2 linked regions of the Arabidopsis thaliana genome follow. The protein of the gene in region 1 interacts with the protein of each later gene in a pairwise test. Each region holds a gene or a part of one and is shown on either strand. Other genes may lie near its edges.

The links.
Region 2: the proteins of WRKY47 (region 1) and AGL21 interact in binary tests that used the Arabidopsis thaliana proteins (3 or more experiments, as listed by UniProt).

The regions. Positions count from the first base shown.
Region 1 is NC_003075.7:743,202-749,332, reverse strand, and holds WRKY47 (WRKY family transcription factor), read right to left. Parts: upstream 4,530-6,131; 5' UTR 4,385-4,529; coding exon 4,163-4,384; intron 4,081-4,162; coding exon 4,009-4,080; intron 3,618-4,008; coding exon 3,459-3,617; intron 2,649-3,458; coding exon 2,391-2,648; intron 2,296-2,390; coding exon 2,182-2,295; intron 1,759-2,181; coding exon 1,114-1,758; 3' UTR 779-1,113; downstream 1-778. UniProt on the Arabidopsis thaliana protein: Transcription factor. Interacts specifically with the W box (5'-(T)TGAC[CT]-3'), a frequently occurring elicitor-responsive cis-acting element.
Region 2 is NC_003075.7:17,834,536-17,840,622, forward strand, and holds AGL21 (AGAMOUS-like 21), read right to left. Parts: upstream 4,435-6,087; 5' UTR 4,087-4,434; coding exon 3,905-4,086; intron 3,050-3,904; exon of another isoform or gene 2,227-3,049; coding exon 2,148-2,226; intron 2,003-2,147; coding exon 1,941-2,002; intron 1,817-1,940; coding exon 1,717-1,816; intron 1,627-1,716; coding exon of another isoform or gene 1,602-1,626; coding exon 1,560-1,601; intron 1,458-1,559; coding exon 1,374-1,457; intron 1,298-1,373; coding exon 1,160-1,297; 3' UTR 1,153-1,159; intron 1,058-1,152; 3' UTR 682-1,057; downstream 1-681. Other genes in the region: SHM1 (serine transhydroxymethyltransferase 1), read right to left, coding at 1-14, 121-207. UniProt on the Arabidopsis thaliana protein: Probable transcription factor.

The sequences.
Region 1 (6,131 bases):
GTCGGGTTTTCAAATTTTGAAGTAACGCTCGGATCTACTTTACTCTTTGGTGATTCTTGAGCTCTTTTAACGTGACTAATTTAAATTGGCCCATTTATGTTTATTGGGCCTAATTCGGCCTCCTTTGCATTTTATGGGCCACGTTTTCTATTTTAGATGTTAAAGGTTGAAGTAGTTGTGTTAAAGTGGCCTCCTTTCTCAAGTTTTATTTAACACATTTTACATATGTGACAATTGTCACTAGGAAAATATACACTGGCAGAGCCGGTTAAACCGACGATTTGGTATATATCAGCGACCTTGTTGTTCTTTAGTTTCTTTGTATTTTGTTCATATACACAATATCGTGTACGCTTTGTAATCATTGGCAACAACTATCAACAACTAAATTATAAATATTTAGTAATCATTGACAGTAACTTGTGGTAGGTTATACTCATACCGATTTAGTTGTGGTTGACAATAACAAATTTCACTGATTCATCGCTAATTAAAATTTAAAATACTAAAAGAAATCAGCTTAGTTACTACAATTGTTTCATATATATATATATATATATATATATATATATATATATATATATATATATATATATATATATATAATAATTGAGCTAACAACTACAAAATCGAACAATCATTGTTATGGTCTTTGACAACTGCGAAACGAACAATAAATCTAATACAGTACTGATCCTTGTCGTTGTTATATTTGATACCTCTCATGATATCTTATTCAGTAGATATAACAAAAAATGTTACTCATATAGTCATATTATATAGTTACATTGTAATATATTAATATATCATACAGGCATGCATGTTCTTTTTTAACATAATATATATTTAAGATGTATACATATACAGAGTATGATTCATAAGAAGTAGGAAAAATAAAACCTACACCCCTCGTTCTTAACATAGAAGAAAAAAAAACGATAGCCAAAATCGTGTAAACCTGTAAAAAAAAAACCTATAATAGCTCTCTCTCTCTCTCAGTGATCTCCATATCATTCATATATAATGTACACCAAAAAAAAACTTAAGATACGCATAATGTATAATATGTGTGTGTAATATATAATAAGATAACATATAATAATGGTAGTAAAATTAGTTTGTAGAGAAAGTGGTGCAAGACTGAGGAAGCTGTGGCGAATCTCCGTTACTACTCCCTCCACTTTTTGCATCAACCTTGTTATCATTAATATCAGTATTATTATTGTTGTCGTTATTACCTCCTCCGATAATGTTTGAGATCGCGGCCGCAAGTGCCGCCGTGAAGTTCGGATCCATCGCAATCGCAGCCCTAACTGAATCGACCATTTCACGTGGTGGGGCTTGTGGGCCAAACAAATTAGGTATTAATAACTGCTGGTTATTATTATTCATAGACCTAATTTGATTAGCGTTTGGTAAAAACGCGGCGGGACCATACTGGCTTAGAAACTGCGGTGGCGGTTGTAGCGGTCGAGGTGGGTTGGTGAGGTCTAAGGTTATGGTGGGGAAAGGAGCTGAGGCAGAGAGTGTTGCGATTGTGGAGGTGTATGGGAAGTTATGGTAGAAGGATGATGATGACGTGGCGGAGGGGCTAGAGAGTGTTTGGTGGAGGTTGCTGGAGGAGGAGCCTGATAAGAGCATGGCTGCTGCGGCGGAGGTGGTTGCAGCCATGGCTGTGGCTGACGGGGGAAGAGGATGGTTATGGTTTCCTTCGTACGTTGTTGTCAAGATAGTTGTATCCTCCGCGCATCGTTGGACCTATTTACATTCAAATAAACATTTTAAATCATTTTGTTACGTAAAACAATAAAGTTTTCTTTAAGAATAAATATGTCGCATTCTAGTTTTGGTTTTTCATAAGTAAAAGATTTTGTTAGAAAGGGATTTAGTAAAGCCTTTCTAAATTTAGAATTATTTTCTATACTCTTCTTAAAACTTTCTAAATCTGTTGTATGAAGGACTTTAATAAGGTTTTATGGTATTGCTCTAAATCAATACTTCTAAAGGATACGTAATATAATCGGTTATATTAGTGTTGTTATTATGTCAATTTTTATATTCAAAGCTACATGTTGACGAAAAGAACCAATACTATATACGTTAATCAATACAAAATTCTAATACCAAATTTTTTTTTCTATAATTATGATAACATTTTCTCATATATATAGTTATACTAACCTGTTTACGGACAGGACATCCAACGGCCATGGTGCAACGATAATAAGCGCGAGGACATGGATTCCCTTTCGCCATTTTCTGACCGTATTTTCTCCATTGACATCCGTCATTTACCTATATTATATATTAATATTGATTCAATTTTCATAACTCATATATATATGTAAGGTTAAACGAATCAAAAAAATTAGTAACTTATAGAAAGTTACCGTAGTGGCATCAGATCTAGCTCTAACGGAAACCCTAGCTTTTCTATAGGGTAATTGATCATGAGGGTTTTGTTGTTCTTCATGATTAGTACTCTTGTTTTGGTCTATTCGAGGAGTTTTTGGTGATCCTCGGTGCATATCACGACCATCCACGTCGTCTGGAGACCGTCGTTTCAAGGTGGTGGCCGGAGTTTCATGGTTCATATCCTTTGGTCTTCTGTTCTCTAGAGCTTGTGAGGAACCAGCTTGAGGTACATCCTTTTTGCCAAACAAAAATTTGCAAGAAAGATGTGTCAGTTTTATAAGAAAATTGAAAGAAAAAGACGTTGAAATTTACCCAAAATCATACCGTAGTATCGGTAATTAATTTGATCAAGTAACCTCATAATATATATAGTACCGATAGACCCAAAGACAAGATAATAAATATAAACACACACATAATAATAGACATTTGATAACCTACCACATATGCATTCACATATGGACGTATTAAACTATTAAAATTCTAAGGCAAAGACTCATATATGATGCATCTACAGATTGTGGACAAACAAAATATGATGCATATACAGGAACATACCTAACTATAAACAAATAACTTATCGTTTGTAGCTTCTGAAAACAAAAGGTTTTTTCTAGTTTGAAATATCTTAGTCCGAAATTTGATTTTCCATTTAATATTAAGTTATGAAACATTTTTTTCTTGACCAAGTCATTGGCTAGCTATTTATTTCATCTTCTTCATATTTTATCAAATAAAAGCTGCACGTATTTATTCGTCTTATGACTTTCAATCTGGGCATTTAAGATGAAAATTATGAATTCATTACATAACTAAACTACATCCATTATTTACGCATATTACACATAGTTTTAAAATTTTAATTGCTTTCGAGAAAAACAAAACTAATAGATCACTTTAAATTTTCAAAACCAGATAAATCGAACACTAAAACCTAAGCTAATCTCGGTGCCACATAAAAAAGACAAATATACAATTTATTTTTTAATAAACCGAAATGTTGATATATATTTTATTATCATTTTTATGATTTTATCAAGTACCTCATGTTGTTTATGATGAAGACCTTCCACTTGTGTTTGTCTTGCTAACAAAACTCTTCTTTGGAGGTCGTTGTAACTCTCACTGACCTCATCTAATAAATGCTTCAGTTTGTGATTCTCCTCGTGAAGCCTCTCTAGCTCCAACTTCAGTCTACTAATCTGCAAATTGTTTAATAATCATAACCGTAACTATAAAAGTATAAATCAAACAATTTTTTTTTTCATTAAAAACAACCTACAGTTTTATATACGGAACTAAATTAAAGATTACAAAAAAGAAAAGAATTAAATATGTGTATATACATAAATGAATATGCGCATTTAGATAAACTCACATGATCGGGTAATCAAGTGTGTGTGTGTGTCCACACAACAAAAATTACCATCCGATTATTTTGTTGACAAATACAAATAGTTTTTTTTTTAAGTAACAAATACAAATAGTTTGTATATAAGTGAATTATTCTTAATACAAACACTGAAATTATGTTACCACAGGATACTCTGAAATTCTATCAAAGAGAAAAAATAACAATTTAGAAATACTTACTTGAGTTTTGGTTTTGTCATCGCCATCATTGCTTGATGTTCCATGACATGAATTTACCAAACCTAATCCATCCTATTATGCCATGAATTTTATGTAATTAAGTTATAACGTCCAAACATATATTTGTATTCATATCTATAATTTAAAAACTTACATTAAAACCAGATGATCCAACGATCGTCGTTGTTCTCACATGACCAAGATCAAACGGCTGACTTTTAGCAGCGAAGAAATCAACTTCTTTGATAGACGACTCGTGATGACGTTCCACCGGAGACTCGTTCGGTTGATGATCCTTTGAGTCAGAATCTCCGTGGAGAAATTCTCCTGAGTGTAAGAACGCAATTTCACGGCGATCTTGAATATGTTCTTCCATTTGCAGACAAAGAGAGATAGATAGAGATAGAGAGAAGAAAAAGAAAAAAAAGAGAGTCCCTTTATATAAAGACTAAATTTATGAGGATAAGTTGTGTAAAGTCTTAGCTAAAGGTTTCCATTTTCAACGAGAAATCACTCTTTTGTCAAATGTTACACATACAAATAAATGACCAAGCAACTGTTGGGAATATTATATTAGAAGGTTGGTAATTTCCGAAATTGCATAATGATTTAGTTTATACTAATTACGTAAATTATGCGAAAATGCCAATTTTATCTAATCAATTCTTATGACATACATAAAACGAAAATTTACAGCGTTGCATTTAAAATTTATATTTGATATTTATATTTTATGTGCTCAAACATTTGATATATATGTTGAAAATTATTTATGATAAGTATCAGTCTGACTCTTTCTTTTGCCTTTTAAAATAGGAAGATCTTGAGTGGTTCTTAAATGTCAGATTTGATCTCAATATTATAAGTATGTCTTTATTGTTATTTTGTTTTCTTTCTAATTTTGTTTAGAACTGGTATAAAATTTGGATACTTGCAGCCAGAATATAATTGAGAAAATGCCTTGAGATGGATAAATTCCTCGATATATAGCGTCATAAATGTACACGTGTTAAATAACCAGGGTAAGATAGAAAAAAGTGACGTGTAAATCGGCGATAAATGTCGAGCGGAATTAATTTAATTGTTAACAGTGACGGATTTCCGTTAAGTGGCCGTTAGTAAGAAAGTTGACGGAGAAAGACGACGTGAGTGAGACTCAGTAAAAGACGAGCAGCGTTGTCCTGAAGTCAACGGAGTTGACGGCACGGCATAACGGTGGCACTAAAGGACGGTGAAGAAACGTTAAAGAGAGTGGGACCCACACAAGGAAGAATGGGACCCACATAGGGAAGAAAAAGAACCTAATCTCTCCAACTTGGACCATTCATTGAAACCGGAGCTAACTACCAAAGTCTTAAACTCGTCATTTATTTTGCCTTTTTCTTAAAAATTTAAAATAGTTAATAATAATACTATAGTTTTTTTTTTCTAAACTAATAATCAGAATTTCTGAATCTGTCATCGTCAACAAGCTCAGTGTAGACCGTCGTGCAAGGTCATTTGAATATATTTATATAGATATCATGATTTTGGGTTAGTTATTTGAGATTCAGATTTGATATCTTTAATGATTCGTTTTATAATTATAAACATAAAATTTATATACTTGTTCAGTAGTCAGTACTATATATACAGAGTCTTAGATTTCACAATATTAGTTTACATATATATATTTATAATGTTATTACGTGATTTTTCCACATTAAAAATGTATATCTGATTATGATAACTTTTCAGGTTTTATTTGGAAATTAATATCATATAAATAATTAATTTCAAAAGAGAACTTGTTTGTTTGTTTTGTTAAATAGCATTTTGGATTTTGTTTTGTTTAAGATATAAACCTGAGAAGAATAAGGTCTTGAATGTTTTGTAGATTTTGTAAGAGTTTTTGGATTTTGTTTTTCAAAAACTTATTTTCATAACAATCAAGATTTTAAAATTTTGGTTTCCCTACAATTTGAAAAACTATTTTGTTGTAATTTTCCATTCATGATTTTAGTTTTTTAGTTTTTCTAAAATTTAGGGAATCTAGTTTTTACTCCATCAACGTTATTTTTCTCAAAAACTAAAAACTAATTTTTTGAAGTTTTTAAAACAAAAATATATTAACAAAAATCTAA
Region 2 (6,087 bases), about 17 Mb from region 1:
CTGGGCAAAGAAGACTGCAACGGAACAAACAGAAATCAGAAAAAAAAAAAAAAAAAATCGAAAATTTCCAATCCGATTATAAAATTCGGAGATAAAAGGAAGAAACTTTAGGGTTGTTACCATGTAACATGAAGTGGATCGAATAAGAGGACGAATGGGTTTGTCAATTGAAGAAGAAAGCCTTCGAAGAGCCATGGCCATCGCCATTTTTCGCTAAACCTCTCTCTATCTCTGGTTTGTGAAACCCTAGAAACAGATTTGAAACATGAACGAGAGAGAAGAGAGAACAAAAATAACAAAATTGGGTTTATCTTGTTTGAGAGAATTGTGGCCTCTGCTTTTGGCTGAGCTTTTGGTGGTTGCAGCAAATTTTCGAATTTTTTCCCTCTTTTTTTATTTATATTTTCTTCTGATTTTTATTTTATATTTGTTGTTTCTTTGTCGTTATCTCTCAGGTCCCTGTCTACACCAACCTTTGTGAATTGTGATGATTTGGTGACGACGATGATTTGTTTCCCTTTAAGACAGAACCTTTATTGGTTTCTGGTCAGTGCAGTCAACGATAACCGATTCAGTTATCACACATCAATTTAATTTATATAGTTTCCAAACCGGTTAGTTTGGGGGAATAAGATTAACAGAATTATGGTGAATTTACAAAATAAAACCAACAAAACAAAAAACTTAACAGAAAATGTTTATTTAACATTTTAGAATTACCAAGTGCATGGTTATATATATTAAACAAATTATTGATCTAAGAATATTGATATTTGAGAGAGTTTTGAGGATAATAATTCATATGATTTTTCTCTATTAATTGACGAATCTATGGTTATAAACAAGTACAATATTAATACTCAAGATGAGTATAACAACACCGGATTTTAATTATATATGCTTTAATTATATTTAGGATTGAAAATATGACTATGTTAGAAGAACCATGCTGCTTATCGTACGTGGCTTGGTGTATAGAGGTTTCCAGTTCAAGAACCTTATTCAAACCAAGGCCTTTGGAGTGTTCTTCAACATCATGGTATCTTCCAACTTCAATCTGTGAAAGTTTTTAACGAGTTACATAAAATATATAAAATGCCTAAATGGTGCATGCATGTTTGTGAAACATCAAGATCAATTAAAAAAGTTTACCTCTCTGTTATTCGTTTGCTCTTGGTGGAGTGTCATAATCGGAATGTTCAGGCTGGCTTAGTTGCAGCCGAATCTGAGTGTGTGATTCATCATCCGCAACAGCTACTTCACGGTGTGTAAACCCGTTTGTGTTTGCCATATAAGCCTGAAAGTCGAAGCCATATCACTTCGAAGCTCTTACTCCAAAGAAAATGGAGTTTTTGTAAAACATGATTTGTTACCTTCTTGTAGAGCTCCACATTTTCTTGATGAATCCGTTGTACTTTCCTAGATAAATCGAGGTTTTCCTGATGAATAAGATTCCTCTGCACCACGATCAACAAAAATCCCAAAATTAGAATTGTAACTTTTGGTAGGGGATATTTGTGTGTGTCAGTGTGTGTATATATATATCTCATCATAGTGACCTTTTGGCTTAGTTCTTGGATTTCTTGAGTCAACAGTTGTTCCTGTGAATCCGGAAAAGCAATCGTTCTATTGATTTCCGTTGTGTTCTATAGTCAATCTTTTGAGTAATACACTCCAAAGCATATAATAGAAGGTAGAGTATATGTATTTATGTACCTTTCTCATACGAATTCCACGCAAACTTATCTCAATTTGATTCTCAAGACTGTTTAGCTCGTTAACACTTAAACCATTTAGCTGTTCTCCCATCATTTGCCTGCTTCATAGCAAACATACCGCAATCCATAACTACAAGTTTCTTCATTTCCTTTACATGCCTTCTATATTTTGATCAAAGACTAATTCTTAATACAAAATGTTATAAAAGTTCAAGGCGATACCGATGATTTTCTTGCAAAGCATGCAGTTCTTGTCTTAGAACAGCAGCTTCTCTCTGCCAAAACTGTAACACACAACACAAATAACTCATCAAACTTTGAACAGCTCAGTAAACCAAAATCTCATTTCAAAAATCAAACATCATGCTAAAGCATCAATCAATATATAATCACATATCTTTAGAGTTGTCGCTATATCTATATGTATACCTTGACTTCTGATGCGGGGTTCAATAGTTGTTGTTGCTCGATCTTGCTCTTGTTGTATCTATCAATAACCGACTTCATGCTATTCAAAATATTTAATATTAGTATACCTTGTTCATGGTATATAATTCACTCATATCATATCATCTCTTAGAGTAAATTACGTAAAAGATATTAATTTTCGATCGTGAAGTTTTTCCAAGTACTCCATTAAAAAGCTTTCATACGTAAAGAAAAAACTCATAGCCTAGAAATTTGTGCAATATAGACTTTCCTGCATTGGCAACATTATTTACACACGCTTATATATGTACACATACATACATTTCACATAATGTATATAATCTTGAACTCAGCAGTAATACGAATTTGTTACACAAACTAGATAAACTATATATAAAGTAAGTAGATGTTAGTTTCTTTTTTCAATAAGTAACAAAAACAAATGCTTAAATGTTATTTCTAGGGTGTAGATAAGCAAGAACTTTAAAGGAATCCAGTTCTAAGCTATAAACAAAATGACATAAATGTAATGCATTAGCATGGCACACTTTATTTTAAATCCAAGCAAACAATAACATGGTGTTAGTTAGTTTTAAGAATGGTATATAAACTTGACTAAATATGCTAAGTAATTTCATTTACCAAGAGGTTCGTAAACCCTATGATACATGAGAAATGTTATCAAAAGACAAACGTGAAGAATTAATAATGCTTAAGGTTGATGCTAATATAAAATTCCTCAAGGAAAATAGGGAAAAACAAAAATTCGCATTACCATACTCTTTTATTTGGTTGTTTTAATTGATAAATATGAAATTATATAAATTTTCAAAATATATAATCAAAATATTATATGATTTAGAATTACATGTTTATATATGTTTTCTAATAATTAGTTTTTTATCTCTATATTTTTTTTATATTAATCAAACTTTTAACAAAGAATAACTTACTCAGAAAATAGACAATTATAACGATTTTGCAGATATAAAGTTAAATATACAGAGTAATCTGATCGTTTAGTAATAATATATATGATTATATATAAATATCAAAAACATGTTTATGTTTACGAGTATAAATAGATCATTTTGTTAGTGGGTTAAACTAAATCAGCTTCCAGTTTATTGGATTTGAGAAATTAAGTCCTCTACATACCAATCTTCTAACTCGTGGTCTCCAATTATAATTCTTTTTTAGCTTTCCAATAGTGATGTTTGGGCATTCACACTTGTTTTCTCATCTATTTCTGAAACATATCTAAATTTGGAAAATGCAAACAATGAGCCTTAGTTAGTTATAAGTCAATGTCCATACACATAAACATATGTTAGGAAAGTACTTCAAAACATACTGATGATGGGTACATATAATCACCCAAATATGAAGCAAAGAAACTACTTCAAATTATTTTTTCAGCTTCAAAAATATTACTCTTCTTTAAAACTTCTACCTCATTTTTAATCTTTCTTTGTTGTAAGAAAACTGTTTGTCGGCTATACAAGACACATCTTATTGTACATACGGGAAAATTAATGTAACATGTTCTACGGACCGCCAGATGCGAAAAAATTCCACTATATTTGAATAGATCCCACAGCTACATATATCTCAGTGAATATCACCAAGCCTTCTAATAAACAAAACCGTAGCATAAAATTATATGCATACAGTGGTACACAACATCTCCGTAGATGTACATCCACAAAATCAAGAAGATATAAAGATTTCAGAATGAATAATTTTAAAAGAAGAACCTGGAGCTTGCAAAGTCATAGAGCTTTCCGGTGCTAGAGAAGATGATGAGACCGACCTCGGCATCACAGAGAATAGCTAGCTCTTTGGCTTTCTTGATAAGGCCCTTTCTTCGTTTGGAGAAAGTGACTTGTCTACTCGTTGAATCATCGATCCTTTGGATCACAATCTTCCCTCTTCCCATCAATTTTATCCTCTAATTGAATCTCCTCTGGTTCTTCTCTTTTTTAGGGTTTTTTTTTTTGTAGATCTTACCAAGCCCAAAAGGGAAGGGAATATGAAGATGAACGAATAAGGAGAAAGAGAAAGGTAGAAATAGAGAGAGAGGAAGGTTGAGCCAAGAGTCAACAATCTATTCGAGGAATAAACTAAGTATATATATGCATATGCACACACACACATACACACTCACCTCTCAGTTTGAGACATTTTTGGGTAGATTTAATACATAGAAAAGTACTAAATTTCTAGTCCAAAATTAGTATTTGTGTGTATGATTTTATCAAACCAATGAAATAGAGAGAAGTTCTTATAAAGTTCCTAGGTTAAGAGAATATATAGATATAGCTTAAATGTGTGTCATATATACAACTTTAATCACTGATTCTTTTTTATAGTTTGTTTATTACGGGAGATAGTGGAAACTTAATGGAATTGTTTAGATAAAAAGGAGTGAAATAATATTAAACTTAGTGTGAGTTAGGTAAATTTCCATTATCAATAATATTTCCTTTTTAACATGTCCGTACATTATTTATAATTTATTCTTAAGTCTTATTTCAAATGTCATGTGAAAATAGTGAATGGGCGCATCACAGGACTGTGTTTCTCTGACAAAACCCTCTTGCTTTATATGCTGCTTTACTTAATTTAATTAGTATCTTTTAGAGGTGATTAAAAGAAAATTAAAAATATTCTGGCCCTTTATTATGGTCATAGGAAAACTTATACTATATTAATTAGATCTGTCCAAAAGATATTTACCCAAAAAAGTAAGAGAATGGATTGAACAAAAACATACAGTATTAATCTAGTACAACATATATTAGTCCATATGGCTTTCGGTAGAAATACAAATGAATAAATTATTTTTGTGTCAATTAATAAATGATTTTAAACGATATCAAGTACACGTGTCAGACAGGGACTTGGAGTTGCGGAGATTCATCATATTAATTGTTTTGTCGTAAGTTTCCAAATATGGCAAGAAATTTAATATCAAATAACTATATAACGTCTGTTACTTTCGATGGCTTAATGCTTGATTTCTACTCAAAGCAACTCGCGTTCAATATCATAATGAAATGAGCTATACAAAATTTTCACTTATATATAGAATATTTTCACTCAGAAGGCCATATATATATAAACCGTAACTTATATTTCAAGCTTATGCATATTGCAAATATACAATCTAAAATGTAATATGCATTTGTGACAGGCACACGTGGGAGAAGCAGGAACAGCTCCTGAGAACACCAATTGATGGAAGTCTTCGCACGCTCCACCGCAGAATCCGTACACCTGATCCTTCATTACTAACTATTTTTGTGTGTTTATTTTAGTTTCTTTGAATGTCTAAACTTTAACTTTGACCAACCCTCAAACTTGCCATAAATCACCACCCCTAGCGCGAATGTATCCATCAATTGAATTTGATTTAAAAGTAGCAAATGTCCTTTAAACCGAACTAAACCAAGCTCAAACCCTAATAACCAAGTTCGATTTTATACCGTTGATGTATAAGATTTAGGTGGGCCCCAGATAGATAACATGATAATTAAAGATCTATTAAGACCACGTGGGCTGGACTGCTTCGAACCAATCACATCTCGAATCTCAAACTCAAATTCAGATTTGGCTCTTTTTCTATTAACAAAGAATCTTAAAGTTGCTTCCAACTTCCAAGTGACCAAATCCCCAATTATCGTCCTCTTAAGATAAAAGATTCAGTCTCATTCACGCCAGGTGTCAATCATCAGCGAATCATTTCGATTTTACCAATTATAATCATTATTATCTTTAGTTCGACGGGTTTATACCACTCTTTCTTTTACGTTTCAAGCCTATTGTCTACGTTTTCCATATTTTTCAAGTCTAAAACATAAACAATCTAGAATTATCACAATCTTTGTTTATTTTGGTTCTTAAAACCCCTTTAACAATATTTGTTTTGTGTAATTGT